Linked DNA regions of Danio rerio. The protein of the gene in region 2 interacts with the protein of the main gene of each other region in a pairwise test. Links are inferred from orthologs where the notes say so. Each region holds a gene or a part of one and is shown on either strand. Other genes may lie near its edges. The genes, in order: klc1a and mapk8ip3.

Region 1 (17,332 bases), on a different chromosome or scaffold from region 2:
GTCCAGATGTTTTCTCCAGATCTTCAAGAGCCTGTTTGCAGAGAGGAACGGCCACCTCATACCTGCCTTGTGAGGCATACTGGATCACCAGGTTGTGAAGGGTTCGAAGACGAGCAGGGATCTCATAACCACCCTGCTGAGCTGCTGCCACTGCACTGCTGTGAGGAGGCTGGACTGGGAGAATAGAAGAGAACAAAAGTACACTGAAGTAAAATTCATATAATGTGATACAAATCTAAAAACTTGTTCCTTTTTTATTAGTAAAAACCAACAGAAAGTGAAGAAACTGTTGCAGAGAGTCTAGGAAAAGTCCCTAAGAAATCAAAACTAACGATATGATTTTGTTAGCGTACACTGCTAGTTCTGTGGTGAATTATTCATCCGTGCATGTCATTAGGGAAAAAAATTGTTTGCACTGCCATAATCTTTCAAGGGCACCTATAGTAAAAAATCTACTATTCAAGCTGTTTGGACAGACATCTGTGTAGGTATAGTGTATAGGCCGTCATATTGGGGTGATATAAACACACCCAGTCCTTTTTTTTTTATTTAACAACATCAAAAATGGTGGACCAATTGGAGCTGTTTTTAGATCGACCGCAACTTGACGTAGGAGTGCGGTACCCCAGCCCACCAATATCGATTGACTGCAACAAATTACCATATCCTAGGTTTGTTGTTTCACATCAGCCATTTTCAGCGTGAGAGTCAAAGCGATGTCACTAGGAACACCCTTGCTCTATTCTTAGATGTAAGGCTCATTGGGCTTAACACAAGACCAACATTCACCACATGAACGGTGTAATCGGAATTATCGTTTGTAACTTAGTTTGTTTGTAGGTAGGTTAGCAAACATGTGTACTGTTTATTGCGTCTACCTTAAACTTCATCTGTTTCTCGTGGTCACAGAAGCTCCCTGTGATTTTAACTAGGTACAGCTGGAAAGTGCGAGCTTTCTGTCAGGGTACACACAACAGCGCTTCCAGCCGGTGGCTGTCCGTGGCGCCCAGCCACGATTCAGGGCACTTCATATTTCTGTCGCGCCACAGAGCGCCATCTGAATAGTTTCGTTTTAAATAACATGCGAATGTGCGTGTCTGGTGTTCCGTGTCGCGGCTCTGAGTGGCGCATCTGGTGCCTCGGTCAAAGTTAATTTAGTGTGCATGGTTATTAGTCTCGGTGTACAAGCTCGGAACTTTAAACTAGCAGTTGGCTGTAAAACTATACAAAGACACAAATGATTTTGTACTCTCTACTTGGTCTGTGTCCGAGTCGTACATGTACGGCGGAATGCTGGTCCTCTCACTCATGTTGCATCTCTCTGTCTGCCTGTCTCTTGCCAAACACAAAGCGGCGGAGCTCTTGGCTGAATCTGAAAATGCACTTCCTGTTTGTTTTTAGTTGATTTATCAGATTATTACATTGAGGTAATGGGCGTGGCTAATGCTGCTCCAACTGTCAGTTGACAACAAACAGAAATGGTGAGGAGGAGGAGTCTGTTAGGTTGTAATAATCTTCTAAAACCTAAAACTGGAGCTGGGAACACTTTCGAAGAAGACATTAAAATTTAAGTGGCATCTACCCTTTTTTTGTCCATTTCTTCTTAAGGCTGATTTATATGTTGCTGATTTATGCATTGCTGATGTCTACCCTGACACTCACCTTTCAAAAAATAATAATAATAAATTACTACACGTTGCATAGCACAAGCTCTGTGAATGGTCAGCTTGATATCATTAACAAATGTGGGCAGGGCGAGAGTTGTGGGAGAGGAAACAAGTCTTTAGCTTTTATTCCGAGGTCTAATCTTGGATCCAGTATTTTAAGTAGATGGCTGTTGTGGTGATGGATGAGTTAAGATAATAATACTTAATAATAATGTGTTCTTGTTTCTTGTGTGTCATGTAGATAAATGTAATTTAATTTGCTTTTATTTATTTACTTGTTTTGTACATGTATTCATTTCGAAGGAGTGGATAACTGCCTGAATCAGCAATAACCTATCAAATATATCTTCTTGTGTTTAAAATAAATCTCTTAAATTACTTAGCTGGAAGAGCACAATAATTTGCATTTATCTTGATTAATTTTCAAGCTAAAACACATTGCAAATCAAAATTATTAAATAAGCAAAAATAAATAAATCAGTCGAAAGTTGATAATACTTAGTCGAATATAAGTTAAAAAAAAACTGCCATGTCTCCATGTGATAGTATCAAGTATCAGCAATCTCACAGAAGGATGACATGGTGATTGGAAAATGTAGTTTAGCTTGACTGTATATCTGCTGCTGTCTCTTTGCAACGTTAAATAAACAAGGAATAACTAAAGACATGGCAAAATGAAAGTAAAAAGATACAGCACATTCCCAGCACTTCAGGAATGAGGAGAAGAGATTAATGCAATATTTTTCAGAGAAGATTTATGTCATTCCCTTTGAAAAACTCAGCTGGAAATCATTTGCTGCAGGGCAGCATCACTGACAAGGAAACAGCCGCCTGGCATTCATGTGTCAGAATGAGGGTTAATCTGAGTGCGTTCACGATTCAGCGGTGTCAGACTGCAACACATGACACCAAAAATATCAGTGCACTGAGGAGCTCTGAGCCACAACCCGACCCACACTGCCCTTTGATCTCACTCCACAGTCAATGAGCCAATTATCAATTATTCTATCAGAAAAATAAAGGAAGTGACTGGAAGGAGAGTAATTCAAGACAGCAAACTCTCTAGCTCACGCAGAAACAAGGAAAGAACTCTACTTCAACATTTTTTCCTCTCAATAATACTATTTCTTTTAAATCATCAATAATTTGTATTACATTTATTGACTGTTTTCATTTAAACTAGGGAATAAATCCAATGTTTTTCCATATTTACAAACATGGACACAAGTATAAATATATAGACATATTCAGCATACATTATTATACAAAGACTCTTATACTATATATTTTTAGCAAGTGCCTATACATTTGTCTAAGTCAGGGGTTCCCAAACTTTTCAGGCCAGGCCCCCAAAATGACAATGCCAGTGACTCGCGACCCCCACATTCCTATAAGGTGATTATAAATATAGAAATATAAGAAAACAAAAGCATATTAAGAACACAAAAAAGTGCAACAGTCTAACAACCACAGGCTATAATTTATATGATCATTTATTATTTGGTTTAATTTAATATTAATCTCAAGTAATGAGACTGGTGGGTACAATGTTTTTAGCTCAAGTTTATTCTTGGTTTAATTTTGGGGACTGCCACTCAGAGATCACCCTCAATGTTCAGTTGTGGCCAGTATTTATTTTTAATGTATTTAATTGCCATAAAGGTGTCAGAAAGTTTAACCTGGTACAATAAAATCTAGCTTAAACACACAATCCTTCGAAAAAAAAATTAAAAGGCTTTTTATTTGCATGTTGTTGCTTTTTTATATAACTAGTATTATATAACTATTATATAACTATAGTACTATTTTTTATTCATTTATTTAGGTTTTAATGCCATATCAGCAGCATTGGCTATTTTCATGGCAAAAATATACTACTAAATGTACAATATATAATCATATAATCATATCAATTTCTTAACAAACATACATTGTAAAGAAAAAAAACAACAACAAAACAATCCACATAGCAACAACACGGAAGAAGAGTCATATATAATCTTATAGTTTTATTAAAGATAAATACTCTAAAATTGTTCCAGAAGGTACCTTTTCAAACATTTTACTTAATATATCTACCGAATAAAAACGTTAATCTACTATTTTTTAGGGCTGTCAAAATTAGCATATTAATTAATTTAATCAGCGTGATTAATTTGAATATTTAACACATTAAAAAATAAAGCAAATGACACAGTTGCAGTTTTTTTTTTTTTTCGGTTGTAGCCGACGTGTGTTCAGGGATGGCGCGTGCATTGAGGCGACCTAGGTGGCTGGCTTGGGCAGCAGAATAGTGAGCGAACCCACCAGTCCTCACTTTCATCCGCTACACCCACCCCCTCCTTCACCATCCTTACTTTCATCCGCAAAAAGATCACTTTCTGGTTGAGGGCGGCTTGATTGCCGTTTGCCTAGACCGCCAGTTCAGCTTGCTCTGACCCTGCGTGTGTTTAATGCCTAGTTCAGACTGCGTGATTTTAGCCCTGATTTTGGCTCCCGGCCGTGAAAACATCATTATAGTAAGACAAAAATTAATTTTTTTGGTGAATTATACCTTATAAATACAGTATGTGACTCATTCATCATCATTTGTCAATGTCACTGAGCAATGTATGTGAAACAATGAAAAGACTCGTGCAGCCGCCTTTTCTTCTCTCCTGAACTTAAAAATATGATTGGCAGAATTGTAGAAATGCTGGATTAAGATCGTCTAGGGGGGGTCGAATCGAGATCGCTATCTTTTAACGATTAATTGTGCAGCTCTAGCTCCAACTCTAATCAAACACACCTGAAGCAGCAAATTAAGCTCTTACTAGATACAGTGGGGATTGAAAATTTGTATTAATGTGCATAAAGAAGCCAAGGAAAGATGGAAAAATCTCCAGAAGGCATCAAATTACAGATTAGACATTCTTTTAATATGTCAAAAAAGTATGTCAACAACAGCACGAATAATAATAATATAAAGCTCACTGTCCTGAAAGCTTTTTTGAGTGCATTTATTTAAATGTTTAGTATATTTTAAGATCACATAATCAAATTTTTTTAAATTTGCAATACATTTTTAAAACATTTTACTAGGGGTCTAAGACTTTTAGGGCTCTATTTTGCAAAATGCAAAGCGCAGAGCGCAAACGCATTAAGGGCATGTCGGAATTCACTTTTGCTAAAATAAGGATGGAAAAATCCACTTTGCGCCGTGGTAGATGATCTAAAAGGGTTGAGCTTATTTTCTTAATAAGTTATAGGTGTGTTTTGAGAATAAACCAATCAGAGTCTCATCTAGCAAGAAAACAGTTAAACAGAGCATCTGCAGTGCGAGAATGAGAGATAAGGCCTCGCATTATCTACTTTCACTTTCGCTCTCGTGGATAGGGTAACCTTGTACGCACAGACATCCATTAGCCTATACATAGTTAATTTTGTTTGCTAAGCGCAAAGATTTGTTTCAAAACTATTTATAAATTCAGTTCTAATTTCCAGCAAACGAATAAATGAACAATAATAATGAAGTGTGCTCAAAAAACTGAGTTATATCCAAATACATATGCTGTGCCCCATATGGTCTGAAACCTGCCAGGTGGGCAAATCTAAGCTTGTTTTTAATAAAACAGATATAAATATGGATATAATAAATAATACTGCTAATATTAATAACATTATACCAAAGAAAATTATCACGAATAAACTGAAAAAGCCGCCTAGATGAAAAAGGCATGAAAGTATGGTTTTTAAATTTTTATAGGCGAGAAAATGTTTTATATTATTTTAATCCTTCATATTTATATCCTATATATATCCTAATTATATCCTATATATATATCCTTAATATTTGTATTCTTTTTCATATGTAAAGATATTTGCGTAGCGTATTGCTCTACATCTTGTGTGTATTAAGCAGTGAGTAAGCGAGGAGCACACAACTAACGCGCTCTGCGCTGGACTTTAGACCGGCTTTGTTCTGGTCTATTGAAAAATCTATAATAGTTTTTTTTAAAATAGCAATGCACCAGCAATGCGCCTTAGAACGCCTTCCTTTTTAGACCAGAATGCCTTTGGGCGCACATATGAGCGCAAATGCATTTGCTATTTAAACAGAGTGGCACAAAACGTCAAAACAACTCTTGCACCAAGCTGAAACTAGCAAACAATAATTCCGTCGCGCCTTGTGCCACATTGCGCCTGGTGTATGATGGCCCTTAGAGTCTAAATTGTTACTAACTAAATCATGGTGTTTCAATAGTACTTAATAATACTCAATAATGATACTTAAGTGTTTATACTAGAAGTACATCAACATCTTGAATTTAACTAATGTCTCTTTTATCAACTGTTCAGAACTGAGTGCTTCTAAAGTACTTACTGCCAGGTCCAGGCTCATCCTGCTCATCTGGGAAAAGATCATCCAGTGTCTCCCTGCTGGAATCAGAGTCCTTATCATCCTGAACAGAAAGTGTTAGAAAGAGAGAAGCACAAGGTAAGACTAAAAAAAACAGAAAATATGGTAAATGTCATAGGGAAAATAAGGTGAGGGCTCACTGATGGGCTAAGATCTTGATCATATTTCTTGAGCTGGTTCATGAACTCCAAGTGTTTCTTCTCCTCCTCCAACTGAGCCACACTTTGCTCGCTCTTCTGCAGCCGCTGCTGGGTTCCTGCCAGCTCGTCCCGCAGCCACTGGTTCTCCTGACACAGCCTCCGTACCTGTGCAACAGCAGCACTCAGATTCACAGCATTTTCACACTACAGCTTTTACACAAAATTGCTGACCCATGTTTTCAGCAGCCCTGGCTTGGAAAGTTCTTTACCTTGAAAAGGAAAATACTGAATAAATCCTTAAAACCAGCCAGCTCAGAGGTGATTACCCATATAATGACGTGTGATTTAACGCCAAAAAAGAACTTTAATTGTAATCCTTAAATAAAGAATTAAGTTTGAAGTCAAATGCACAGAAAAAAGCGTATTGTATCTTACTACACAACAATAGTGTGTTTGATGAACACCTGAATGATCAAATGTTTTCTTGAGTATTTAATATTTCAAGTGTATATTTTTTTTATATCTTGTACCTGGGCCCAATTTTGATAAGAAAAAAAATACATAAAATATTACACTACTTAATACACTACTGTACCCTGTAAATAAAGTTTGTAATATCAACAAAACAGATTGTAAAAAAAGTTCACAAAAAACATTAATTATTTATTTTTAGTTATTGAATTGTAATTGTAAATCACCAACATTTTTACTGCAAAATATCAGTAAGGGCGATTGTTCTGTTTTACAAAACGTTTGTCAACTACATTAATCGAAAGTTTATTATTCAGTCCAGTTCTTGTCACGTGACTAGCGTTGTGCTTGCAGCATTCTTTTTCAAATAGGTGTACCTGACAGTGGCGCCCCCAGAAAATTTTCTTAGGGGTGGCCAGAAGAGGCCACACCAAATCTTGGGGTGGCACACAAAAAATAATGAATTCAGTGTAATGTTATAATTTTTGTTTCTGGTAAATGAAATAATGTGGTTTTTACTCATTTATTTAATTCCTCTTGAAATATTGCAATTTACTCCTTGAAATAATTCAGCAACTGCATGTGCAAACCAAACCAAATAAAAATCAATATTCAGTTTAAAAACATTTTTCATATATATTAACATATATAATAATAATATAATCATATAATAATGCTAATAACATTTCAGTTATTTTATTCAGTTAAATTTTCAGTTATTTTTCCACATATCTTTATTGTACAGCATACAGTATATGCCATGTCTAAAACTAATGAAAATTAATGAATGAATAAATAAACAAACAAATTAACAAACTGAACAAAAGCCATTACTTTATATACACATGCTCACTATACAGACCCTTACAATATTATTTATACATATTCCTTTTTGAGCCACAATATTATTAATACAGCTTCTTCTTTTGATGTACCTAAAGGTAAATAGTAAATTGCCATTGCTGTTTAATGAAGGTCTGTGCATGTTGTCAACGACGATCGGGGAGGCAGAGAGGCAGTAAATCAGCTACATCAATGGCACCAATTAATGCACAATAATTTATTTATTGAAAAATTGTGAATTTATGCAAGTACATTTAAATTAAGAAAAAGTGTGTGCGTTGTGCTGCTAGCACTCTGCATGCACATTGCTCTCCTCTACCGGAAATAACGAACTTGCACGCTCAAAAGACATAATATGTGAACAGCCTAAGCCACAGTTAACCCAGTGTGTGTGGGTATAACTTTAAACTAGTACACAGTTGGGATGACTTTGTTTAGTTGTAGCAGTTTTGTTCCATGAAGAAACACAACGTTAACCCCCTGGGGTCGAAGACCGCGTATATGCGTTCTGACAACCTAAATTACACTTTCAGTTTTGATCGTACAGATGAGATCAAGACATCAATCGAATCTGTTAGGTGTCTAGTTTTCAATGTGTACACTCACAATGACAACAAACGGGTGCTTTTGCAAAACAAGGATAATAAACAGTGTAGGCAATCAGTCTTTTCTCTCTCCGTGAACTGTTTTTAGAAACGCGCCAGTAAAATGCTGAAAACAAATCACACAGACACGAGACACATATCTTTCGAAAGCTTGAAGTGTCTACTTTTAATTGCAGTGAGTGCATGTTAAAAACAAATATTGTTTGATAAAGTAATCAGTATGAAACCAATGCTATGTCTAGTTTCTCAGTCTGAGTTCATTAGAGTTAATGCTACCACGCCGGTGAGTCTTTGATATTACAAATAGCCTGCATGAGACACACGCAAGTGTGGACTGTCAGGAAAAACAAATGAACTGAAACTCAGCAAATACTTAACAAAGAAATATCAGAGATTTATCTAAAGAAAGCTTGATATGTCTACTTTTGCAATAACCAACTCAAGTTGAAAACCAATAATCTCTTTTCAAGTAATTAACTGATTATATTTATGTATATGTATGTACATGTATATGTATGCATACACACACACACACACACACACACACATATATATATGTGTGTGTGTGTGTGTGTGTGTGTGTGTGTGTGTGTGTGTGTGTGTGTGTGTGTGTGTATTATTATATGTACAATACCATAGGCTAGTGGTTATATTACCACAGCAACTATTGAATTAATAAAACAAATTATGTCAAGTACTTTACTAGACTATGGTTTGAAACAACTTGTTGACTATACATTACTAATAATGCTTTTCTTGCGAGTATGGTAAACTTATTTGTGGTTACTAGTGTTAAACTATAGTTTCTTTGTTATTTGCATTCTGTTCTCTCATCAAGTATGCATATGCTATGCTACTGTGAAAAATAAATACTGCCAGTTGTTTACAAAACAGCTTATATTCAGTTTATAATTTCTATGTGGTAACCAAGATTATTAGGTAAATTAGTACTAGTGTCAGTGAACAACACAGAAATGTTAAAAATGTAGTAATGTAATCAGCTAGCTTATTTTTAAAGTAGATTTGCTATGTGTAAGTTTATATAGTTTACAGAGTTTTATACAGTGTACTGACTCTCACAAGTGTATCTAGAGTTATTTTGTGTGATAGTAAAATATATTTTAAATAAACTGCAAACAAAAAATATATATATAAACTTATTTTTTTGTCAGATTTTCTCTTGAAATTCCTAGTGACATACCTGTCTGAAGGCTCATTATGCAGCTCATTATGCAGGTCTTTGTCTTCTCAGGTGTGACTCACTGCATTAGTATTGATAGCTCACGCCTTCTTGTATAGACCATTTTCACTCAGAAAGTGACTTAGAAATTTTAATTCATTATATTGTTTTCTGTGAGCAAGTAAACAAGATGTTTCTCACATCATTTTGAAGCAAAAACACTAGGCTACAAGATCCAGTTCTCAAAAGTGTTGTGAACAAATGTTCTTCATGTGTTTCACAGCCTTGTTTCAGTGACTTCGAAATTTTAGTTTTTCACTAACTACGAAAGAATCGCATAAACGTTTCTTTCTCAAAAGCACAAACATATACAAACATGCAGCTTGGGTATTATTGTAGCCCAGCTTGTGCTGTTTACAGTGTTATCACACTTTAGTCATTAATATGTTTTTAAGATACTGAAAACAACACAAATGTCAGTGTATGTCAAAACTTCTCCAGAGTCCCAAACACCCTCAGACCCCTGAGGGTTAAGAAGCCTTTGCGATTAAATAACGTGACAAATCAAAGCTAGGTTAATAGTGAAATCAGTTAATTGCTGCATCCCTGATATATATCCAATATTTCAGAATATGCTTTCAAAAAAAACATATTGGTCAATATGACTACATGAAACATGCTTAAAAAACCACGTTAAAGAAAAGTTGTGCTAATGGAAAGTAAAATTAAAAATGTCAAATGAAATTTCCTGATAACACTTGCAAAAAACATGAAATTCCCTGACATTCAATATCTGGAATAGGGCTTTTCTAATTCTATGGCCTTTGGGAACCCTGGAAATTTATGTAGGGTATTGGCTCTTAACTGATTTTATCTCATCAATTTAGAGTTTTGACTTTCTAATCAAAAACTGATGCATGTACACCACTGAACCGGAGAGCAGTTTAATTTTACATGCGATGCAGTGTCTTTGTGTGTGTGTATGCACCTGTGCTCGAAGCTTCTGTTTCTCTGCCTCCACTGCACTCAGATGCCCTGACAGAGCCATCATCACCTGCAATGAGCAATAACAGAAAGAAAGAGGGAGAGCAGCTATGTTACCATGTTGTCAAGCAAATTTCATCACATTTTGTAATAACTTCCACATCGTACCTGTGCTTCACTGAGGCCCAGCTCCAGCATCTCCATTGAGCGTTGGATCATTGCAGTCTTCTCCTCAACAGCACGCCCCTCCTGGCTCTGTTTGAGGCAGCGCAAGGTCCCCATCAGCCCCTCCAAAATGGCCTGATGTTCAGCACGGAGCGCCTCCAGCCCCTGCATGACCTCGCGCGTCCGACATAGCAGCTCATCCTGGGATAGCTTTTCACCGAGGTCCCCCTGGCCCTCCGTCTCCTTCACACACAGCACGCTCGACATATCCTCACGCATCCTACATAGAGACACATAACACAGATGTGAGGGAACGTTTCCAGTAAAGATTAGTTTGTTTTGTATAAATGAGTGCCTTTTCCTTCTTGTTCTTGTCCATTTAAACCATTGACAAATTACTCAAATCACTGTAACTGTGAGTGCAAAAAGTGTTATTAATTAGTAATTTTTTTTATTGATTAACTGCACTAATTTATATATTAGGCCTGTCAAATAATAAAAAAATATATAATTAATCATACTTTTTTGTAATTAATCATGATTAATCACTAAAAGTGATTAATCATGATTAATCACGAAACACCGTATTTATTGCAGAAATAAAAGCACAGGCATTAAATGGCATTTGAAATACTGATTAAGAGTCTACCATGTAAGCAGCAATTTTTGATTACCTTAAAGGAACACGCTAGTCCCGAAATTAGGTTTTTCTTTTCATTTGCCATGAGGTAACAAATTCCATTAAAACGTCCTGAATGAGAATATGCTGAATGAGAGTGAACTACTGAACTGCATTTAAAGTCTAAAGATTAAAAATGAAACACCCGAAATTGCATGAAACTGGAGGAAACGCAGAATAGCCTGGTGATGCGAGGTCAGGGGGATGCTCACTATTCTGCTGTCCAAGTCGGCCACATAGGTCATCTCTATGCATGCACGCACCGTCCCTGAACACACGTCGGCCACAACAGGAAATGAAAAAAAAAAAACTGCAACTGTAGTGTTGTATATTTATTTATTTATTTATAAGAATTAAATAATCGTTCATTAATCGTAATCGAATTAAAATCTTCAATTAATCAAGATTTTGATTTTAGGCCAAATCGCCAAGCCGTAAGTGCAGTACACCTTAATCAAACTATTACCATTTTGTAGGATTTTCGCTGTTTTGCAACATGGTATTCCACCACACACTGGTGTTTGACACTATTATCTGCACCTACCAAGTCAGTACCACAGACACCTGCATCACGAATTGCAAAGTTTTTTTTTTTTTTTCAAATTCCATTAAAACAACACTTTTTTTTGTATTTACAGCAGTTAATACTCGCATCCAATATTGCTTGTCCCATAGTCACAGGGGCATGCATGAAATGTTCCTGAATGAACGTGAAAGTGCCAAACTGCAGTTAAAGTAAAAAATTTTTTAAATGAAACACCCAAAATTACATGAAATGTAGATAGCGTGGTGACACAATGTCGTTAATCAAACTATGTACTATAACATGTAAAACAGAATAATAAAAGGAACTTTCAAAAAGCAACTGATGTTAACACCTTAATCATATTATTCTCTCATTCATATTAAGGCTAATAATTCGGTTACTGATGTCCATGTAAATGTAGTCATTGTGATATCGATGTTCAAACGATAAACCATATTGTTCAGGTCTAAAAGACAGATATATAAGGCTGTCACCTGTCATTTGGAAAATTCAAGCACTCAGTGTATTGAGAAGGATGCAGTTTTGTTTGTGCTTTACTGGTTGATAAATTTCTCAGACAGACTAGATTTTAAACTTTTTGATCAGACCCTGGGATCATTATTTAATAGTTAGAGAGCTGTCTAAAAGTAATGAAAGTATTTAAAACATACATTTTATGACATACATACAGTATACTAATGTTACTTTAGTCAAACTATATTTTTTGTTTATAAACAATGAAAAAAATATTCATTTAAAAATTATGCCTTGTCATGCAGAAATTGCTTTGGCACACAATCTCTCAAAGTGCATTATGTCTATATTCAACGCTCTCTCACAGCAATTCGTAACTTTTTGGTTTAGTGAAACAATACCATCTAGTACAATTTGCTCATTCCCCAATGATGGTTGGGTTAAGGGGTGGGGCCACCCCTCCTTTTTAAAATAATACACTTTTATATAAATGAATTTGTACAAACTATCCACTACATTGACAAAACGTAAAAGAGTTATGTTTCCTCCTGAGATCACGCTGGTATTTTCAATCTGTTGAGTCTACATGGGCTGTACACTTGCTATGCGGTGCGTTGTGGGATTGAGTGCACTTCAAAAATTCAACTGGTTTTGGACACCCCTACAAATGGCTGCTTTTTTTCAATAGTGAACTATTTAAGGGTATTTGGGAAGATTTTGCATCTGAACACAGGTCGTGAAATTGAAGACTCCTGCTACAGATGTGCAAAATGTGCAGTGTTGGAAAGTGGAGCTTCATATCCTTTTTTAGTTTCCACTAGTTCTTTGATGTTGGTTTAATGCAGGAGTATCCAACCTCACACACTAATTAAACACACATAAACCAACCAAGTTATTCAGGTTCATTAAAAACGTCCAGACAAGTCAAAGCTGAACTTAGGACAATGTCCCTCCAGCAAAAGGACAGAACATCCCAAGTTTGTGTTTGAGAAACCAGGTGAAATCATAAGGTGACATCTCTAAGAAAGGCAACAAGTTTCTTCCCAGCAACCCACAATGATGTTTTTTTAGCTGGCATTTTATACTATATTTCAGGGTTTATTCAAATCACTAATTTTAGTATGAAAAACAAAAGGATGCTTGACTTGGCAAACACAATGAACACTACATTTTAAAATAACACTAAAAGACAAAAAGCAAGTTCACTCAGAGAAGCAATTAGAATGCAAACCCTCTTCAAGAATCTGAGAGGCTTCTGACTCTTCCCAGCCTGACACACGGACACAAAGCAGCTGTCTTTGCTGTTGCCAAGACACAACTCACCTGGTAAGGCAGTTCACGGTAGCCAAGACACTTAAGCACACTTGAATTTCCAAAAAACAGCAAGAGGAATCTGAGATTGTTGCCCTTTCAAATGATGTACATCCAGCCTACAGTGAAAATAATGGTAAAGGCCTTTCATTTGAAATAAACACGTCTCCACAGATTTGTTCTCTCTCATGAAAACAATCGCACATCTACTCCCTGCAATTATGATATAAAGAGAAGCAGATCTATGTGCTGCTCCTAAGCTTCGGGTTTGTGCTCTATTCCTGTGGGAGGGGAAATAGGAAGTGAGGCAGCAGATTCATGTGACCCATAAGTAGTTCATCATCTGCCATGTGACAAGCACTGGGCAGGAAACACCAATGTATGATGGGAATCAAAGTACTGAGATTCTGCTGCACATGCTGATAGGTCACAGCTAATTTGCTCCAGCGCCATTAACTACATAGCAGAGGAGAGAGGTTGCTGTCACCTCAAAAGGCAATGAGCTTTCTCCTAAGATTTTCAAATGTGACATGCTGCATCTGAAATTGCCTACTACTTGAGCAGGTACTGCATTTGAATTAGAATTTACTACACGATTGTTAGAAAAGTATGTTTTATAGAGTATGAATGGAACTCGGACGTTCTACATCTGCCATTTGTCATTATCATGTGACTTACCCACATCAGTTTCACTCCCATTAATTAATTCTCATGTGGCATCATGGGATACTGTAGCATCCATCGGATGCACACTTCAGATTCTCGCTGGTTGTGTAGGTCACCTAGTAACCTCTCACATACTGTTTGTAGAATACTATGAATTTGGACGTTACTCAGCACTTTTTCAAAGATCCTCCTCCACCCCAGCTCCACTGGTCTTTAGATCTGCTAACATATAACATCTGGGTTACAAATACAGACTGCTTGTCTGTGAATAGGTCATTCTAAATCGCTCCATGTGAAAAACGCATAAGATGGCATAATGTACCTAAACATCAACCAGAGAAACTTTACTTGTAATTAACCCTAACTACTATAAAAAGAACAAGCCCTTATTCTATACATAAAGTGAATATTAAGTGTTTTCAACCAATTAAAGTTCAAGGAAAAAGCTTAACAACAGGGGAAACTAAAATTCTATCAAAATTCACTTGTAATTAATACTAATTAACATAAAAAAGCTCATTCTGATTCCATAAAGTGAACAATGTCACGTTAAGCATTTTATTCCGATAAAGTCTATGATTTAAATTAACAACAAACGGTGAGAAATACATTTATATAGGAATATACTCATGATAAACACATTCTGCTATCAAAAGAACAGGCTCCTGCTTGCATAAAGTGAACAAATTCCCTTTAAACATTTTCCCCATAGAAATCCATTATAAGACAACAGCCTAACATGGGTTAATATACCTTAACACCAACCAGGGAAAGGAAAACCCACATTTCTGTCAAAGTTTTCTTGTGATTAACAATAACCATTATCAAAAGAACGGGCCCTGATTGCATAGATAAAGTGAACAATATCACGTTAAGCATTTTCTATTCCATTAAAGTCCACAATAAGGAAAGGCTTAACGTAACAAACAACACAAAGAAAAACACACTTAAAAAAAATGCCGTTCATAAAATCTAATTTTACTTATGATAGATTAAACTTTTTATGCTGTCAAAAAAACGTGCTCGGATGCATGCAGTTGGCATCCCCAAAACAATAGAGAAGAATGTTTAAAATAATGTTCTGGATAAAATGTAAAGTCGGAAAGATGTATTTGCAGACCCAACAAAATAGAAAAAAATAAATAAATGTCAAGAAACACTTTGGAATTGTGACTCCCACAACCAAGGGTTCCCAGTGCTATCCTTTTGTGATTGCATTGACAAGGTTAAAATGATGCCATAAACATGTGCATACAATTTCCAGTTTCCTAAAATAAAAATGCAAAAGGAAAATACCTAAATGAATGAGATCATATAAGGACATAAAAATTTAAAAACTTTACATGCCTGAATGCATCCTGCTGAATTACAAATGATAACAATCAATGATTTATTACAATGAGAAGAGGATGGGAAAGAAAGTGCTAGAGATTATGCTTATGACTGTATAACATTTTCTTGGTGTGATTAATTGCTGAAGTTTATATCGCAGCATACATTATCATCACAATATTGAAAAAAGTCGCAAAAAATAGGTATATAACAGGTATAATAATTATGAAATAATACTTGTGCATTGCTTTACTGTAAAAGAGAGAAAAATATCAGAATTATTAGCATCCTTTTGAATGTTTTTTTCTTTTTTTAAATATGTCCCAAATGATGTTTAACAGAGCAAGGAAATTTTCCCAATATGTCTGATAATATTATTTCTTCTGGAGAAACTCTTATTTGTTTTATTTCAGCTAGAATAAAAGCAGTTTTTAATTTTAAGATCAAAATGATTAGCCCCTTTAAGCTATATATTTTTTTGATAATCTACAGAAAAAAAAACATAATTAGGCAATTTATTGTATAATGATCCTAACCTGCCTAGTTAACATAATTAACCTAGTTAAGCCTTTAAATGTCACTTTACGTTAGAGGTCTGCATTCGCGCGGCTGTACCACAGGACCCGATCAGATTTCTTGCGGCATGAGAATAAATTTTCGAATAAATCGAGGGAGCGGTCGGTAACTGGTTTAATTTGAACGGGAACAGGCGGTCTAACAATATCGCTCCCGACTCCCGAGCAAGCACGCGTATGCATGTGTGTGAACGAGAGAGTGTGATGCTGTGTTTAGCTTGATTGTTGCTGTCTATGTGTGTGTGTGTGTATATGAGTATGAATGAGAGAGAGAGAGCTTGGTAATGTCTATGTGCGTGATGGTGTTTGGGTCACTTGCTTGGTGCTGTGTGTCTGTGTTAATACAGACATCTTGTTTAAGACTGTCCGGACCATATCGCTGGGAGGTTTTCGGTGGTGGGTTCGAACTAAAAACTGGCAGAAGCGAGATTCAAAATTTAGTCGAATCAAATCACTTTTATTGTCGCATCATCAGCAGCACGTGTGCTGTGATGAGTTAAAAGCTTAGGTGCTGGCTCCAGACAGTGCAAAATACAATGGCACTGCAAAATACACTTGTCACCAAGCGCAATGCAGTACAGATCTCTACTTTAAGCTGTATAGAAGAGTCTTGAAAAATATCTAGTGAAATATTAATTACTGTCATCATGGCAAAGATGCATAAGACTGCATATATATATTTATACAAAAGTTCTGTCCAGTTCAAGCAGAGACACTGTACAGTTTGACAAATATTACTGCTGAATTATATTAGTTATTAACACAATTTAATAAAAAAATTACGACTTATCAGAGTACAACTACATTTTAACATTATTTTTCTACGTTATTAGGCAATAACTAACATTATCACACATTTCAGTGAGTATTTCATCATGTAGATCACATTAGCACGTGAAAATGTTCATGTTTGAACTATTAAGCTAAATTAGAATAATTAAGCTAAATTAGAATAATTAATTATCTAAGCATTTGGGGCTGTTATGAATTTTACTGCAAATACAAAACACAAAATACTCTAAACATCTAAATATATGTATTTTTTAATGTGCCAAGGATGGGCGGTGTGGTGGCACAACAGGTAGCGATGTTGCCTCATAGCAAGAGGGTCACTGGTTTGAGCTGTTGCTGGGTCAGTTGGCGTTTCTGTGTGGAGTTTACATGTTCTCCCTGTGTTCCAGTGGGTTTCCTCCAGGTGGTCTGTTTTGCCCCACATGCGCTATTGGTGAATTTGGTAAGCTAAACTGTCCATAGTGTGTGTGTGTGAATTAGAGTGTATGGTTGTTTCCCTGTGATGGGTTACAGCTGGAAGGGC
Region 2 (17,332 bases):
ACTGTCATTTACTTATGACAAAAGGCAATAATGGTCCAACATTCCTGACTATGATCACCAATCATGCGTAGAAAAACAGGCATCAGTATCAACAAATAGGTTTCAATATTACTTTCCAGTTATAAAAGAAATAATTTGTTCCTTAATGACAGTTTTGTAACTATAAATAATTTTAAATTCAAAATTAAACATACATCATTGTAAAACCTGTAAATGATGGAAAAACATATTCTGTAATTGTGTACCTGGGTCTCCACTTCTGCCATGGGTCACTGGAAACAAAGCATCTAATTCTTGCAATGTTTTGGAGATGACAGTACGCTGATTTAATAACTGCTTTGACATGACTGCTGAAACTCAGATCTGACTACAGAATAACACCAGGATTGGATCCATTATCGATGGATTGATAGATAGATCCATAACAAGATGGATGTTTTTGGATGTACTGTTTATAGGTTATTTTGGACTGTGTTGTGTGACGTGAATGTGTTTATTTCTGTCTGAAGATTTTGCATGAATTGTTCTGTTCTTCCTGTGTGCAGGAATGTGATTCACGGCAGTGACTCTGTTGAAAGTGCTGCTCGGGAAATCTCCCTGTGGTTCGAGGATCATGAGCTGTTCTGCTATGAAGAGTGCGGTCAGCACTGGATCTACGCTTGAAATCAATCATCAAACACTCTTGCGTTCATCATTAAACACACAGACAGCTTTATCTGATAGCTGCTTATCAAAGTCAGCTCTGCACGAGCTATTGAGTGACCAAAATATAAAAACGCTGGCTTATGTTGACAAGGTAAATGATCTGAAATCCAATTATTGGTCAAGCTTGAATGTGCGGCTTACTTACTGCTTTTGTAAACGTGTATTTAGGCTTAGTTTGCATTTTCAGAAAGTTGGTCAATCCTGCACTAAAGTGTTTACATCCATCTGAAAGACACTGTTTACATTTTTAAATCCAACTTTTGATATAGACATGTTTGTCATCTTGATGCACTATGAAAAAAAAAAACGACATTTCCAAATCAAGACTTCTTAATCAGGACTCATGACAGCAATAACGAATGAAGGGCCAGCATGCTCTGATAACTGACTTGAACATCACATAATGCTTTGTTTCAGTGGTTGGAACTCACCTGACCAAAGGGCCGCCTTACTTTAATAAATTATTACTCTCACTTTGACTTTGAATCCATTATTTGTGCAAACTAAAACTACCTTTTAAAAGTTTGAGATTGGTAAGACTTTAGCCGTTTTATGAAATGTTTGGTTTATAACCACGTAAAGGGGAAGTAAATGTCTTTGCATTTAATTTTGTACAAAATATAGAAATGTGTTGCATTGTTTCCCTCATTGGTTAAATCAGAAATAGGTAACGCAATTGAACAGGGTCATAATTTACTAAAAAGAGGGAATAAATGAAGTGATTGGTGTAAATTGTATTTTATAATCACAATAAAAGGGGCCGCTCACACAAAAATGAAAATGTAAGTTTGAAACCTTAAGTGGTTCGAAATCATGATTTTTTTTTCATGTTTTATTCAATTCATGTTTATTTCTATAGCGCTTTTACAATGTCGATTGTGTCAAAAAGTTAAAGTTTTACTGAGATGATTTGTCTGTGATTGGATGCGATCAGGGCTTGACATTAACTTTTTTTGATCACCAGCCATTGTGGCTAGTAGTTTTCCAATTTTGCTAGCCCCTCGCCACTAGCCACAAGTTTGTTGTAGCGAAAATATATTTTATATGCATAAATTTGACTTATTTGATTTAAATGATTTGTTATGTCCACTTGCATTTCATTCAACTTTTGTGTGTGTGTGTTGTGTATGAGCTTTACCAGGATTCACCTAATTGTTCTCTGGCCACAACAAAGTTAGTTCATTGCCACATTTTTTAAATGTGTGAAAACAAAAACAAAATATATCAAAAACAAAAATGTTCCTAAAAAAACAATTGACATTTTAAAAAAATAGTGTCATGTATCTAAAACTATACACAGTATCTGTCCAAGCTAAAAGTTCCAGATAAGGTCCCAGCTAAAGGTCAGAAAACTATATATAAATGGAGAGTTATCTCCTACTAAAGCAATGTTTTTGTAAAGGATGACATTTAAAGCACATTAACCCCTTCAGACCCTGCGTCCATTACAATGGACATCACATGACATCCCAATTTTTTTTTTAAATTTGGAACATAATTCAGGTGTGAAGGGGTTAATAAACATAACTAAGCAAAAGAAAGCAGGTGAAAAACATTCCATGTGCGATAATGAAAAGATCACTAGCACATGATTACGTTACGACCATTATTGATCTATTCCAAGAACGGTTAAAGCGAAAGCGGCAAGCGCTGCTGCTTACAAAAAAATCCTGGTATTTTTAAAGCAGCAGGAATTTTTTCCTGTCTTTTTCAAAGTGAACTGATCACTCCAGTTGCGTTTCCGGGCATGGTTGCTGCTTCGCGCAACAAAATGAGAGCGCACATGCTTTTTAAAAACGCTTGCATCATATCAGCTGTGTGTGCGACACTAAAGCCCTCGTCAGCGAGTGAGGGTGTTCGCCGTGTGATCAAACTCTCATTTGGTATTCATCTGCTTGCTTTTGCTCACGCAGTTATTTTTATCAGTCACGCTGCTTCTTGTTTCTAAGATCACATTTGCACGGATATTGTCAAACGACCATGACCTAAAATTCTAATTGAAGAGCCACCACTGGCAAATTAAAAATGATCTTCAACCAGCTAAAGTGGCTAGTAGGAGTGGTTGTCTAACCGGTCACATCTGAAATCTAGCCACATGTGGCGGGTGTTAATGCCAAGCCCTGATTGGATGGGTGTTGGCCAGATTAAGTAGTTATACATGAGAAAGGAAAATGAAGACCTGTCCAAAAAAAAAAAGATTTAAGACCTACAGATTTTTTTTAAAGGCTTAACATTTGTTTTTTGAGATTTTAGACATTTTAAGATCTTGCGCACACCCTGAGCAATTGACGAAAGTGAAGAAAAAAAAAAAAAAAAAAACCTTGAGAGCACCAGGCTCAGTTGGGCCATTTCTCCTCTGGCCAAAAATCTTGTGCAGAGCTGCAGTCTAGGCGCTGGATGTCCATCGTGGAGAAACTGCAGGTGTGAGCAGGTCACCGGCGTGTGTTCAGGCTGGCCCATGAGATCGATCTGAAATGAGTCTAATGTTCTCCACTCCGCCATGACCACCACAGCATCTGCTCAGGATACGGCCTGGTCCAGGATAATGGAGACCTCTAAAACCTGTAACAATTGACTTCCAAAGTATTTTCCTACTATAGATGTCAATAGTAACAGGTTTCCAGCTTTCTTCAAAATATCTTTTGTGGACAACAGAAAAAAGTGACAATTAATACTGTTTTCTGCATGTCATGTAGAGCAGTGTTTCTCAACCACGTTCCTGGAGGACCTCCAGCATAGCAGGTTTTAGAGGTCTCCTTTGTCACACCAGTTACAGGTCTTTCAGTCTCTGCTAATGAGCTGATGATCTGAAACAGGTGTGTTTGGTTAAGAAGACATGGAAAATGTGCAGAGCCAGTGGTCCTTCAGGAACGTGGTTGAGAAACGCTGATCTAGAGTATTTTAAGTGACAAAACGATGACAGCGTTTTAATAAAAAATGCCGCTTTAGACGGACGTATTCAGCACATAAACGTTTATTTCTTAATACTTAATACCACACAGAGAACACAGAGTGATGATTTACATACAAGGCGATTGGGCGGGATGTCCATCTCTGTCAGACCGACAGCCAATCAAAGGCTTCGATTTACCTCATGCTCACTATCCCAGAGGGAAGGCAGCAGATCCAGTCAGCACACATCTCACTGAGGCGGAACAATAAATAAAGGACTGCAACTGGGGTTAAAGAGATGTTGCTTCAAAGCACAGGTGTCAAACTCGATTCCTGGAGGGCCGCAGCTCTGCACAGTTTAGTTCCAACCCTAATTAAACACACCTGATCAAACTAATTAAATCCTTTGGGCTTGTTTGAAACCTACAGGGAAGTGCGTTGAAGCAGGGTTGCAACTAAACTATGGCAGACTACCCCAGCTTTAAAAGAAATGAAGGGATAGTTCACCCCAAAAAACAACATTCTAGCATTTACTCACATTTCTTCCAATCCTGTACACGTTTTTTTGATATAAAGAAAGATATTTGGAAGAATGTCAGCAACCAAACAAAGCTTGCCACCCATTTACTGCCATGGTATTTATTGTAATCAATCTGATTGGTTGGTGACATTCTTCCAGATATCTTCCTTTGTTTAACAGAAGTAAATGAGTTTGGAAGAAGTTGATGATGAATAAACGATGGCAGATCTTTCATTTTAAGATGAACTATCTCTTTAGTTTACAATATTTTAGATGACACTGAAACATGTTTGGGTTGTGCAAGACTTCCAGCCGATCCCGATCGTTCATTTAATTATCCTCATCTATTGCCTCACATTTCTCTCTGCAGTGCAAGATTCAATCCAGTATTTACATATTGAGCTCTCTTGGTTTTGCCCTCTTGTTTGCATGTACACCAGTGTTTCCAGGATGATCTCCTGATTCAGTGAGCTGTGTGCTGAGGGACTGTACAGATAAAGGTCAGGGTTATTTGGCAAAAAAGAAAAACAACTGGGTAGTTCTTTCAGGAACTTAGTTTTGGTTCTGGTTTAAGCTGTTTATATGCATTTCCTTTGAACTCAGTAGTAAGATGCAGGACGTTTTGATCTTTGTGTGTGTTTTTGGAGGGAAACGTTATGAGGTGGATTAAAGGTAGTTATAATTGAGGGAAATACAGGCTAATGGGGTCAATATAAGAGTTTAAAGAGGGGTAGTTACAAGGCCGTGGTTGTTACGGAGCGTGGGGCGAAGTTACAGAAAGGACTCATACTTTGTCTTTGGGACAAGGGGAATTTATAGGGGGCGGGGGGTACAGGCAGGAGGTGTTTGTTTAAATCACTCCGGAACATAAGAAACCTGCCAGACGATGATATGACTCCTCTCTGCTTTAGACAAGGCTGGCTTCATCTGAGGAGCTTCATCGTCGTCTGCTTCCTCCGTCTCGTCATCCTCACCGTCACCTGAGAAACATGTCAGTTAGGATTAGTTGTTGTTTGTATGCTCAGGCATTCTGTTTGAATGCGAAAACATAAAATTCTCCAAACTTGCTTACGATTCAATTTCATATTAGGAGTCACGAATAAAAGTAAAAAACAACTCTATCTTAGTTTCATTTCTAAACGTTCTAATCCCACGAAATCTGCAGAAAGTCACGTCTGGTCCAAGACCCTCCCACGGAGAATTGTCAGTCTACATCGATCGATGATTGGCTCCTGTACTAAAAGGCGGGGCTTCATTCACCATATTGATCGTTACACTTTCTCCCATTCAAAACTATACGAGTGACACTTCTTGGGTATTCTAGAGCCTTTGTTAGTGTTAAAACAGTCTAATTGACACTGGAATAAATGAGTTTTTGAGGCTATTCCACTAGCATCAACAAGCTTTTCCCTTTATTTAAAGTGTAGAGTCTGACATCCCATTCACACGGGGCTTCAGTGTCAACGCTTGACAAGGGGGAAGGTCTGAAGTTGGGGCAGACGCGATCGTCATAGCAGCATCGGCCAATGAAATTAGTCAGCAATTGGCTACTGTCTGAGGTGGTGTATTTGCATACAGCGATCTGATTGGCTGATGCTTCTGTCGGCGCTTGAAAAGTTGAGCAAGTCCCAACTTCTGCAGCGAGTAACGCCTCTGAAGCGGCAACCGACGGATCCACAATGCAGTTTGGCAACGCCTGACGTCATCCATTCAAAGTGAATGGGAAGCGTTGAAGCTGGCGCCCTGTGTGAATGGGGCGTCAGTGCTGGTTTTCAGTCCTATAAGTTTCATAGCATTTCAGACAATTTTAAACATATTTAATTTCAAATTTACAGAAAGATTACATTATAATCCATAACTGATAACACTCTCAAATACAGACTGGTAAAAAAAAGAATACACGATTTTCTTAACACCACAATCTATGCAAAACATTAAGCCTTTAGTGGAGTTTTTCCCCTCAGATCCAATTTGCATGAGTGTCCTATGTGAGAGACGAATCTATGCGCACACCTAAATACTTACATGATTGCACCTGAATAATTTTCTGATTATGTACAAACACTGGCATGTGATTGACATTCATGCATGCTAATTTAGCTTGTGTTGTTTTTGCTTCTCACCGATGCGGAAGTCAATGTAACCCTCGCCTCCGCTGAGCACCAGCACATTCTGAAGACTCTGTGCTTCTGTTTCTGCCGGGGCCGAGGACCCCTGAGACTCTGATGGGCTGTCCAATACGCTGCCGTTCAGTGTGGCCAACACATTGCCTGAAAAACACACAACATCAGATCGTTTATGACTGACCAAATTATTTCCAGAAGAACTATATCATGCATATCATGGCGGGGGGGGGATTTTACTTTCCGTTAGCAAAGGCAAGCAAAAACATGATGAAAATGTGCTAAATCAATCGCTGTAAATATATGCTAGCAGAGTGTTAAATTATGCCAGAAAATTGCTACAATATTTCTGATAGTGTAAAATAATACAAGAAAAACACTACGACAACATGCTGTCAGAAGGCTAATTCAATGTAGCACTGTACAAGAAATCAACATGCTAAAAACGTGCTAAATTGTGCTTGAAAAATGCTAGCGGTATGTTAAATAATGCTAGAAATGTAATCTTATCAAAGTGCTAAAACATTAACAGTATTAAATCATGTTTGGTACATGTTTACAATACACTACTACAGCATGTTAGTAATATTAATCGTGCTAAGTCATTCTAGAAACGTAATGTTATTAAAGTGCTAAACAATAACAGTTTTAAATAATGTTAATGTTTACAATATACTGCTACAGCATGCTAGCAGTGTTAAATGTGTGCCAATTGTGCTATAGAAACATGTTAGCACTTGTTAAATCATGCTAGAAACTTAATGTTATCAAAGTGCTAAACATTAACAGTGCTCAATCATGTTAGTTACATATAATGTAATGTAAGGTGTATTTATATAGCACATTTATTGTGTATAAGCACTTTACAATCATAAGGGGGGGGGGGGGGGGGGGGGGGGGCGGTCTCTCCACACCACCACCAGTGTGCAGCCTCTACTTGGATGATGCGACGGCAGCCACAGGACAACAACGCCAGTGCGCTCACCACACACCAGCTATTGGAGGAGTGGAGAGACAGTGATAGAGCTGATTCAGTGGATAGGGATGATTGGGAGGGCTGATTAAGGGCTCCTGCTCTTTACGAAAAAAAGGATTTTAAATGACCACAGAGAGTCAGGACCTCGGTTTAACATCTCATCCGAAAGATGGCGCCCACTGACAGTATAATGTCCCCTTCACATGTTAACAATATACTAGTACAGCATGCTAGAAGTGTTAAACGTGTGTTAAGTCATGCTAGAAACACGCTAGCAGTGTGCTAAATCATGCTAGAAACATGTTATCGAATTGTTAAAACTAACAAACTTTAAACATTTTACTTACATGTTAACAATATACTACTAAAGCATGCTAGCAGTGTTAAATGTGTGCTGGGTCATGCTAGTAACATGTTAGCAGTGTGCTAAGTCATGCTAGAAACATGTTAAGAGCAGATTAACATCATTAGTTTTGTAGTTATACTAGAAATGTACTAAAACAGGCTTTAAACGTGCTAAGTCATGCTAGAACCATGTTAGCAGTAGCTAATTCTTGTTACCAATATACTTCTACAACTACAGCATGCTAGCATTGTTAAATGTGTGCTAAATCATGCTAGAAACATGTTAGCAGTTGCTAAATCATTCTATGCTAGAATTCTATTCTATGCTAGAATGATGCTATCAAAGTGGTTAAACACTGTTAAATAATGTTAGTTACATGTTACCAATATACTACTACAGCATGCTAGCAGTGCTAAATGTGTCATGCTAGAAACACATCAACATGCTAGAAACATGAAGGTAACATGCTAAAATGCTAACAATTCATGCTAGAAACATAACGTCAACAGATTAAGTTATACTAAATAGTTTTTTTCTGTATTACTATTATTACTATTACTGCAATTTACTTAGATTAAATAAGGACATAACTGACACTAACCTGGCACTGACACAAAGAACTTGACTGCATCTCGATGTCCATGGAAACAGAGTTGCGCCTGTGCCATGGAGCAGTATGGGATGAAGCTGCTCTTCTCTGAGGTGCTATCATCTGCATATACATGGATCACGCCTCCTGATGATGTAGGCGACACCTTATTGGCTGCAACAGAGCAGAATCCACCAATCAGAAAGCAGAATGTCTAGAAACTCACTGGGATTGTGAGCATGCAAATTAATACATGAATCTGGTGCAGAAGAAAACAAAGAGCTCACAGCATGCACACTAAAGAAACCAAAGGAACATGACCACAGCATTTGAAATAAATGAAATGAAGATAAACTGATGTTATATGAGATAAGCACAGACGGAAAATTCATTCATAAAGCATAAAACCAACAACAATAATAGTTCATGGAACTATCGTATACATTAAAAGAAGACCTAGGTGTTCATCGAAATCTTCGTTTCTCTTTGTTTTTGGAAAAAAAAAGAGTTTAACGGTTACTGAATTTCGTTTAGTGAAAGAGATTTATCAGACAAATATGTGTGGATTTACGTTTACAGATTTATATTTTCATTCTTGTTGAAAAACTGGTACAAGTTTGAGTAAATAGTAAATATCTGTTTTATTTTACGAAGATCTATGAAAATGAGTCAAAATGTTGTCATTTGTTACAGAAAAAAAATCTTTTTAGGAAAAAATAAGATTTTACACAAAATATTAATGTTTTTTAACACTTGTAAAGTTAAAAGTTGTATAGATATGCCTTAAAAAACTGGTGCCTGTTAATTTTTTAACACATAAATGATATTTTTATTTTAAATGTGGAAAAAAGCCACAAGTAGTCCACAAAATAAAACTAAATTTATATTTTACTTAAGAGCTTGGAAATACAGCAATATCGATCTATAAAGTGTTTCTATATTATTTATTGTGTGTGTGTATTTCTCTTCAAACAAAATGGATAGAAATACATTTTAGTGAATGATGAGACAAATTAAAGACTATGGTTTCATTAAACACTACATATGTAAAGATTATATGTAAATATATTATTGTCTTAAACAATGAAAATCTGGGAATAACAAGGCTTAGTAGAATAATACAAGATCAGTATATGAAAATAAATTTCACTTGCTATGTATCTAGGACTTTTATTTTGAAAACGCGAGCCCCACAATGTTTACTGTGCGTTACCGAGCAACCAAAGCAAGAGACACATTTCATACTGGCCTCAGTACGCAAAATGCAAGATTTACACATTAAACATTTATTTATCTCCACTCTGAAGAGGCATAAGGTTTGTTCAGTTACATATTTTGTTAATATATCGTGTTTATTGAGAAATTAGATGCAGCTGTTTTAACAAACACGTGAAGACTGCTGAATCGTGTCAAATCCCTCAGCTCAACTGTCATCTGTTCATGCACAGGTTGATACTAAATCCTGGCTGTTTTCTTTGACTGTAAATTCAAAATACAACACCATAAATCTCCATCACTCTCTGTTGTGAAGTATAATCATTAATTAGCCTTTATCCACTCTGATTAGGTTAATATTTGTCTATGGTCAGCGCACAATCCTGTGTGTAAGAGCTGCACGTCAGAGTGGAGCTCATTAATATTCACGACACGAACCATATATGGTCAATCATGGACCTTATGAAACCTGGGGTATTTTATGGAGACTAATAAACTTATAAATTCGTTTCTGGAAATTTTTTGTATTTACCGAAGCCATAAAGCTAATATGTAGATAACAGAGAACAATTTACCTTATTAAACCAATGCAGTATATGCACTTTAAAGTTTAATACATAAACTTATTTCTCTGATTTCCCATTTCAAAAAATCTAAACAATTGGATACCAAATTAACAAAATGTAAAGAGAAATGCAGTTATTTAAAACAATCTGCTTTTTTTTTTAAACATTAATATTTCCACAAAATATTCATGTTTAAAAAAGTGAAAACATTGATATTGTGTTTTTTTATATAATGAAAATTAGTTAGATTTTTTTTTTTTACATTTTTTTATAACAAAACGTTGCCCAAAGGTATGAACACAATTAATACTAATTAAATAAGCCCTACATCACATACATAACAGCAACCCCTCAACATTAAAAAGGTTCAAATGCTAAAGAACAAAGATGCAGTTTCAGAAGCTTTTTAAAAACAGATAGAGCTGGAGCGTATCTAATGTGGGGTGGGAGCTTTGGGGGCGATAACAGCAAAAGCCAGATTCCCATTCCGCTTACACCGGGACCTTGGTACAGAAAACATAAACTGATCAGAAGACCTTAGTGATCTACCAGGATTACATAAATGTACAGTAGGAGATCTGATAAGTAGGGTGGTGCCATATCATTTAAGGATTTATAAACAAAAATTTATTAATTAAAATCAATCCGTGACCTAACAGGCAGCCAGCCCAGAGAGGAAAGAACTGGGGATATGTCCTCATACTTCCCTGTCAGAAGTCTCGCAGCCGCATTTTAGAATAATTGCAATCTAATCAGGGCATTTTGACTAATACCCACAAACGAAGAATTGCAATAGTCAAGTCTCCCTAAAATAAAAGCATGGGTCAGTTTCTCAAGGTCATTAAAAGAGAAAGTCGTAAATAGAAAAAAAAATGGATTTAACAACCGAGTTTACTTGTTTAGTAAATTTCAGATCACTATCAATCTGAAGTTAATTTCTCGAAATGACAACATTTTCATTTAATATATGAAAAAAATCTCATCAGCACTTTACAGAATAAGACAAACATTCATTTACTATATGGCGATATCATCTATAACTTTTATCCTCACTGCAAATTAAAATGTAAAAAAATGACCAATAAAGTGAATGAAAAAAATGAAAAATAAAGAAAATAATGAAGTTGGCAATGCACAGAAAACATACTTCATCCATAATAAAGCAAACTGAAAGACATTTGACCAATGCAATAAACGAAAAAGAACCAGAAGTGTGAGCGATGCCGCAAGAGTGACGGTGGTCAGGGTTCACACTCACCCCTCAATCCCAGCAGCTGGCCTCGGTGAAGCACTACGGCTACAGGAGGAGGAAGAGGAACAAAGCAGGACGAGAGAGCAACACTCATCAGATACAACACAGAGAGAGAGAGAGGAACAATACAGAAAGAGGAGAGGAGGAGGAGAAGACAAGAGGAGCTTCATTGGCTAATTAATGTATTTAGGATGTTGACCCAGTGGTTAGTGATCTGGGATGATGACATTAAAGGTTGCAGGTTAATCCAATGAACTGGAGAGCTAACGAGATCCAAGCTGCTTTACTAGCTTAGCTGCACCTGGGGTTTGAATCATTTCGTGTTTGACCGCTCAGTCAGCTTCAGGATGATAGAGTCCATCACAAAACCAGAAGTAACCAGTTTAAATGAACCAATGACTGGAGATTGTTGCTGGTTGGAAATTAAAAGGGTTCGGGTGATCGGGGCAGGTGTTAATCTTTAATAGCGTCTGCATGCAAATACAGATGAGACTTACTTTCAGTCAGGGGGATTGAGATGATGACACCATTTCCTGTGCCCACCCACAATCGGTTTCCTCCAATCAGCAAGGCCGTTATCCTGACAAAGGAGAAGCCCAGCTTTCCTGTACCTGTAGATCACAGAGTCAAAGACAGCAGGTTGTCAAATATTTGTATTGCAACAAGCGGTCTATTATAACATTTGAAGCATGTTAATGAATAAAATTGTCATTAATTAAAAATATTAAAAGGTTTAAATGGAAAAAAATTATCTCTTATTACACTTAACATTGTTGTTATATTGTTATTATATGCTTAAGTAAATACAATTTTTTATTAAATATGGCGTCTTTTAAATGGAAGATTTTCTCAAAAAGAAATATATAAACACACACACAATGCAATGCCCAAATGTTCAGTTTTGACTAATTTCTAAACTCAACTTCAAACAAAAAGAAATCCCAATCAAAGACAGCAGAATGTAAAATATTTATATCACACAACTATTAGTCTATTATAGATGTAAATTTCAAATAAATTTGAAAATTTAAATATATACATATACATACAACAGTTCTGTCTGGTTCATTAATCGGATTGGCTGATAGCCATGTGATATTTGGCCAGTAACAGCACTGGACCAGCCTTCTCACCCTTTACCCTTGTGTATTACGCCTGTTTCACACCGCAAGCGTCAGCGCGTACGGAGAGCAGAAGCAGCACGCAGGCGTTTGCCTTTTATACCAGCTGCGTCTGCAGAGCGCAGCTCTTCGGCAGCTGCTGCAGATTTCAACCTATCTCTGTCTATTCTATCTAGTTACCCATGTCTCTCTATATACAAATACACTTTTTAAACTTTTCATCTGCACCAAGGCCCGCGGCAACTTCCTTCTATGCTGTTTCTTTAACCTTCAAATGTTTATTTTACTAATCATAGATCAAATAGTACTGTATGCTTCTCAAGCTTAATGAGAAGTGTCTACAGTGTCAGAAGACAATCGCCTGTGATATCATGTCATTTGTTTTTTAATTGTCAGGTTGCTGTAGGCCTATAGTTATAATAATATTTATACAATATAGTTATAATGATATTTATACATGATCAAACTAGTGTTACTTTCTCCGCTTCAGTGATGTCCAGCGGCAGAATAACAGCTCGTTAATTCATGCTCGTGCAGAGGATGAGACGGACAAAAGTAACAAATGCATGCCATTATTTTACTTATTTTCGTGTTGTCAGGTTCACAGTGCAAACAGCTCCCGGTAGAAATAACTCGAGTGAACATAAAACAAAGTCGAATAAAACTTTTTTCCTCTGCATCAGCTGCACAGCACACAGCGAGCTCACATAATCCAGCATGCGTGTCGAACTACACTACCCACAATACACTTCGCTATGGACTACAAATCCTGTAAATATTCTATTTCCCCTCTCCTACAACACTAGTGTGCAACTTAAGCAAAACTGATACTAAAATTGTTTTACATTTGGTTTTGTAGTTCGGGCCTAAATAAATGTTTGTTGCCGTTTTTAATCGTTTAAGTTCATTTGATTTACTATAAATAAATCATTTGACAATATTAACGCATTTATTGGGTAAAATTGCTACTTTTTACTGTCATTCATTGTGTTTTGATCATTATCAATGCACTGTCACTTTAATTGAGCGTGAGCAGTGTGGCAAAAATAGACCCAACGCCGAAACTATCGCTGCACTGCTGCTTCGGCGACGCTCACGCCTCGCTCTGACACGCTGCTGCTGCGTGCGGTATGAAAGCTCAAATCTGTTAACATGGACGCCGAGAACACACGCGCTGCTCACGCTCTGCTCACGCGCCGATGAAGCTTGCGGTGTGAAATAGGCGTTCGTCCACCCACATGCAGCAACAAGCATAGGACACTACAGTTTGACTAGCATTGCTGCTGTTGGACAACATAAATGTACTTTTGAGGCTTTTTTGTCGAAAATGTAGTTGTTTAGATTGCAACCATGCAGTTTTTTTCATTAGGATAGTGCCTATTTTAAATATTTATAATATCTGAGAGGCCATTAGCCTGCTATACTGAGTAGACCAAAGACAGTTGACGTTGCAGCTGGAAGGGCATCTGCTGCATAAAAAAACATGCTGGATAAGCTGGTCCCTGATAAATAAAGGGACTAAGCCGCAGGAAAATGAATGAAACAACATAAAACTGAACACTGTTGTGTTAATGTGAAGTGCGGAAAGAGAGCAGTGTTACCCAGCATCTTGCTGACATAAGGCTCGATGTCCACGTCCTGTAGATGCTGGTGTGTGTGAGCGTGATATAAGCGCAGTGTAGAGTCCAGACGGATTGAAACCCAGACTCCATCCCCAATCCACGCCAGCTGCCTGACCTGACTCTCCTTGCGTGGGTGAGCGTCAAAAGATTTCTGCATGAAGGAGAGAGAATGAAATAAAACACAGTTCAGAGACTATAGCTATCTTTCCATACCAACTAGATTTAATTTAGACCGCAAATTAAGTCACACTGTGCTTTTCGCCCCATATACTTCCCTTCATAGGCATGCAAATGCAGCACACTACCTAACAAAAGTGTTTTTGCCTATCCAAGTTTTAGGAACAACAAATAATAACTTGACTTCTAGTTGATCATTTGGTATCAGAAGTGGTTTATATGAAAGGCAACGGCCTCTAGATTACACTTACTTTACCCAAATAAAATATGATCATGCCTTGATTATTAATTATTTAATTAGGACACTAAGGTCTGACTTTGCTTAGACAAAAGTCTTGTCACTTAACAGAAATAATGTACAGTATAGAATATAAAGTCATGCTGCAGTGGAAAAAGAATGAATATTGTGCATGACTCCCATGAGCTTGGAGGACTGCATCCATACAACTCTGCAATGACTCAAGTAACTTAATAATAAAGTCATCTGGAATGGCAAAGAAAGCGTTCTTGCAGGACTCCCAGAGCTCATCAAGATCCTTTGGATTCATCTTCAATGCCTCCTCCATCTTACCCCAGACATGCTCAATAACGTTCATGTCTGGTGACTGGGCTGGCCAATCCTAGCACCTATATCATCTTAGCTTTAGGAACTTTGATGTGGAGGCTGAAGGATGTGAAGGAGTGCGATCCTGCTGAAGAATTTGCCCTTTTCTGTGGTTTGAAATGTAATGGGCAGCACAAATGTCTTACTACCTCCGGATGTTGATGTTGCCATCCACTCTGCAGATCTCTCACACGCCTCCATAGTCAATGTAAACCCAAACTTGACTGATTTCTGTGAGAATCTAGGGTCTATGCGGGTTCCAGTAGGTCTTCTGCATTATTTGTGATGATTGGGATGCAGCTCAACAGATGGAAAAAATCTAACTTTAGCCATTTTTACAAACAATCAACTAGAAGTTATTATTTGATGCTCTTACAACTGGGATCGACGACAAGACTTTTGTCAGGTATTGTATATAGAAAATGCAAACTCCGTTGACGAGTTTCACATATCACTGCTTTTCAAAGTTTCAAGTTTGGTGACCATTACAATCTGTGGGATTGTGTGAGACCAACAGAAGATCAAAACATGACCTCTCTGTACCGAAATGTACACAGTGCCATACGACAGAACTTTGCATGATCAAGCCTAAAGCCGCAGTTACTAGAGTTTATGTGCAAAATCGAAATACAAACATTATAAACATAAACATGTATGCAGCGTTCACATTCAGAAGACGAAACGCAATGAACGCGCTGCAACTTTTGAAGGTGTTAGACACTCTTTGGGAGCTTAAGTCAGTTCTGGAGGTAATAATACTGAACCACTGTAATGACAGACTTTGGCTGAGGGATTTTAGAATGATCAAAACTACATTTTAGATGATTTATAGTGTGGTTGGTATGCTAGATTGTCCGCATCACACATTTTTGTTATCACATGATCTGTTTAAACTAAATCACATGACTTTTTTTTGATGCACATACTGAAATGTATTCTGTAAATGTATTTCCATCATTGTTTAAGCTCATTTTTTCTTATCAGATTTCAGGTTTCTTATCAGATTTCCTGATTTCTTATCAGGTTTTATTTTCTGTGTATTTTCAAAATGTATGCACATCCTACTCTTTCCATTGTACATTTCTTGTGCAATATGCGCATAAAAACAGGTGGATGGAAACAGAGCTATTGATGTGGATTTAGGATGTGTTGTCTTTAACTCGCCTCAATCTGCATGCTCTTGGGCTGAATCACATGGATCTTGTTCTTGTTGCCGCACCAGACTTTATCATGGACCACAGCCATGCACCGGATGGAGTGATGAGGTCTTCCCAGATCCATTAGATGATAGTTGGAAAGATCCCACTGTCCATCTGCGGTTACAGTTCACAGTTGTTGTTGTTATAGAGAGCAGGAATAAATAATGCATGACAGATATATAAATTACCTTCAGATCTGTGGAAAATTGCTAGAGTCCCATCAGCTAAAGCAACCAAAACTCTCCCCTTCACATGTCTGAAGCACAAAGAGACACAGAAATTGATTATTTTTCACTATTTTTCATGTAAATGTTGATTGTTACTAGTTTTTTTTTAAATCCACACAAAATCAAAATTGACAAAGTATTCTGTTGCAAGCACACATCGTGAGTCTCAGGCCCTGTCCACACAAACACTGCTATTTTCAAAATAGTATTTGGTCGGTTTGGTCGTTCGTCCACATGTAAATGCAGTATCAGATGATTAAAATACAAGCTTTCTGAAAACTTCAGCAAGTAGCGATGGGTGACACAGACTTAAACTTAAAATTTCTGGTAATTATTGTGATAATATTATTGACGATAATTCATATCCACTGAGAGACAAAGTCCTGTATCTAAAGTATTCATTTTCATGTTACTTGATTTTTAAACACACATACACACCTTCAACCCTGTTCCTGAATGCCTGCTATTCTGCAGAGCTCAAGCATAACCAAACACACACTGAAGAAGCTAATTAAGCTTTTCAGGATCATCTAAAACACACAAGCAGATCTGCTGAAGCAGGTTACAAATGAATGAGTGCGCATCGAGACATGGCTCATGTGACCCAATATAGAAGCCCAGCATCCATCACGTAAACAATATAAACTAATCCAGAGTATATACAGGAATCAGAGAGTGAAATTTAATACCTTTTAAGACTTTTTTTTAAGACTCTTTCCAAACATTAAGACCTTATAACTACTTTAGGTTTCAACTGGAAACACTGGCAAGATTTTAAGTAGCAGTATTTATTATATATTTATTTAAGAAACTAATCCAAAACTAAAACATTATTCACATACTGAGTAAAAATGTATTAAATTTAGCTAATTAAGCAAGTTGGCCCCTATAACAGCAGAAATAATATTGTTGCCTTGGTTACTGCAGTAAACAAAGCAGCATGATGTTAAATCTAGCAGGATTTCATTGATTTCATAAACCACACAGCATCCTGACATTCACAGATTTAATTCAGGCTAGCTATAGCATACAACTGTACATTGCAGAATCAATACCTTGCAAAATAGCATTTAAGACTTAGTATTTCTTTTTAAGGGTCTTAAATTTCTCTACATTGATTTATCAACTTTTAACACTTTTTAAGACCCTGCGGAAACCCTGTGATCTAAAACTATTGCATACAAAACGTGCATAAATC

What was found.
Region 1: the proteins of mapk8ip3 (region 2) and klc1a interact in binary tests that used the Homo sapiens proteins (3 or more experiments, as listed by UniProt). The link is inferred for Danio rerio from reciprocal best matches to the Homo sapiens genes MAPK8IP3 and KLC1.

What each region holds. Positions count from the first base shown.
Region 1 is NC_133188.1:17,811,469-17,828,800, reverse strand, and holds part of klc1a (kinesin light chain 1), read right to left. Parts: intron 13,749-17,332; exon of another isoform or gene 13,457-13,748; intron 10,735-13,456; 5' UTR 10,734-10,734; coding exon 10,458-10,733; intron 10,360-10,457; coding exon 10,294-10,359; intron 6,372-10,293; coding exon 6,207-6,371; intron 6,110-6,206; coding exon 6,031-6,109; intron 175-6,030; coding exon 1-174. UniProt on the Homo sapiens protein: Kinesin is a microtubule-associated force-producing protein that may play a role in organelle transport. The light chain may function in coupling of cargo to the heavy chain or in the modulation of its ATPase activity.
Region 2 is NC_133178.1:14,646,558-14,663,889, reverse strand, and holds the end of mapk8ip3 (C-Jun-amino-terminal kinase-interacting protein 3), read right to left. Parts: intron 16,164-17,332; coding exon 16,096-16,163; intron 16,022-16,095; coding exon 15,873-16,021; intron 14,079-15,872; coding exon 13,907-14,078; intron 11,796-13,906; coding exon 11,682-11,795; intron 11,230-11,681; coding exon 11,191-11,229; intron 8,326-11,190; coding exon 8,164-8,325; intron 6,388-8,163; coding exon 6,241-6,387; intron 5,098-6,240; coding exon 4,973-5,097; 3' UTR 3,664-4,972; downstream 1-3,663. Other genes in the region: nme3 (nucleoside diphosphate kinase 3), read left to right, coding at 546-663.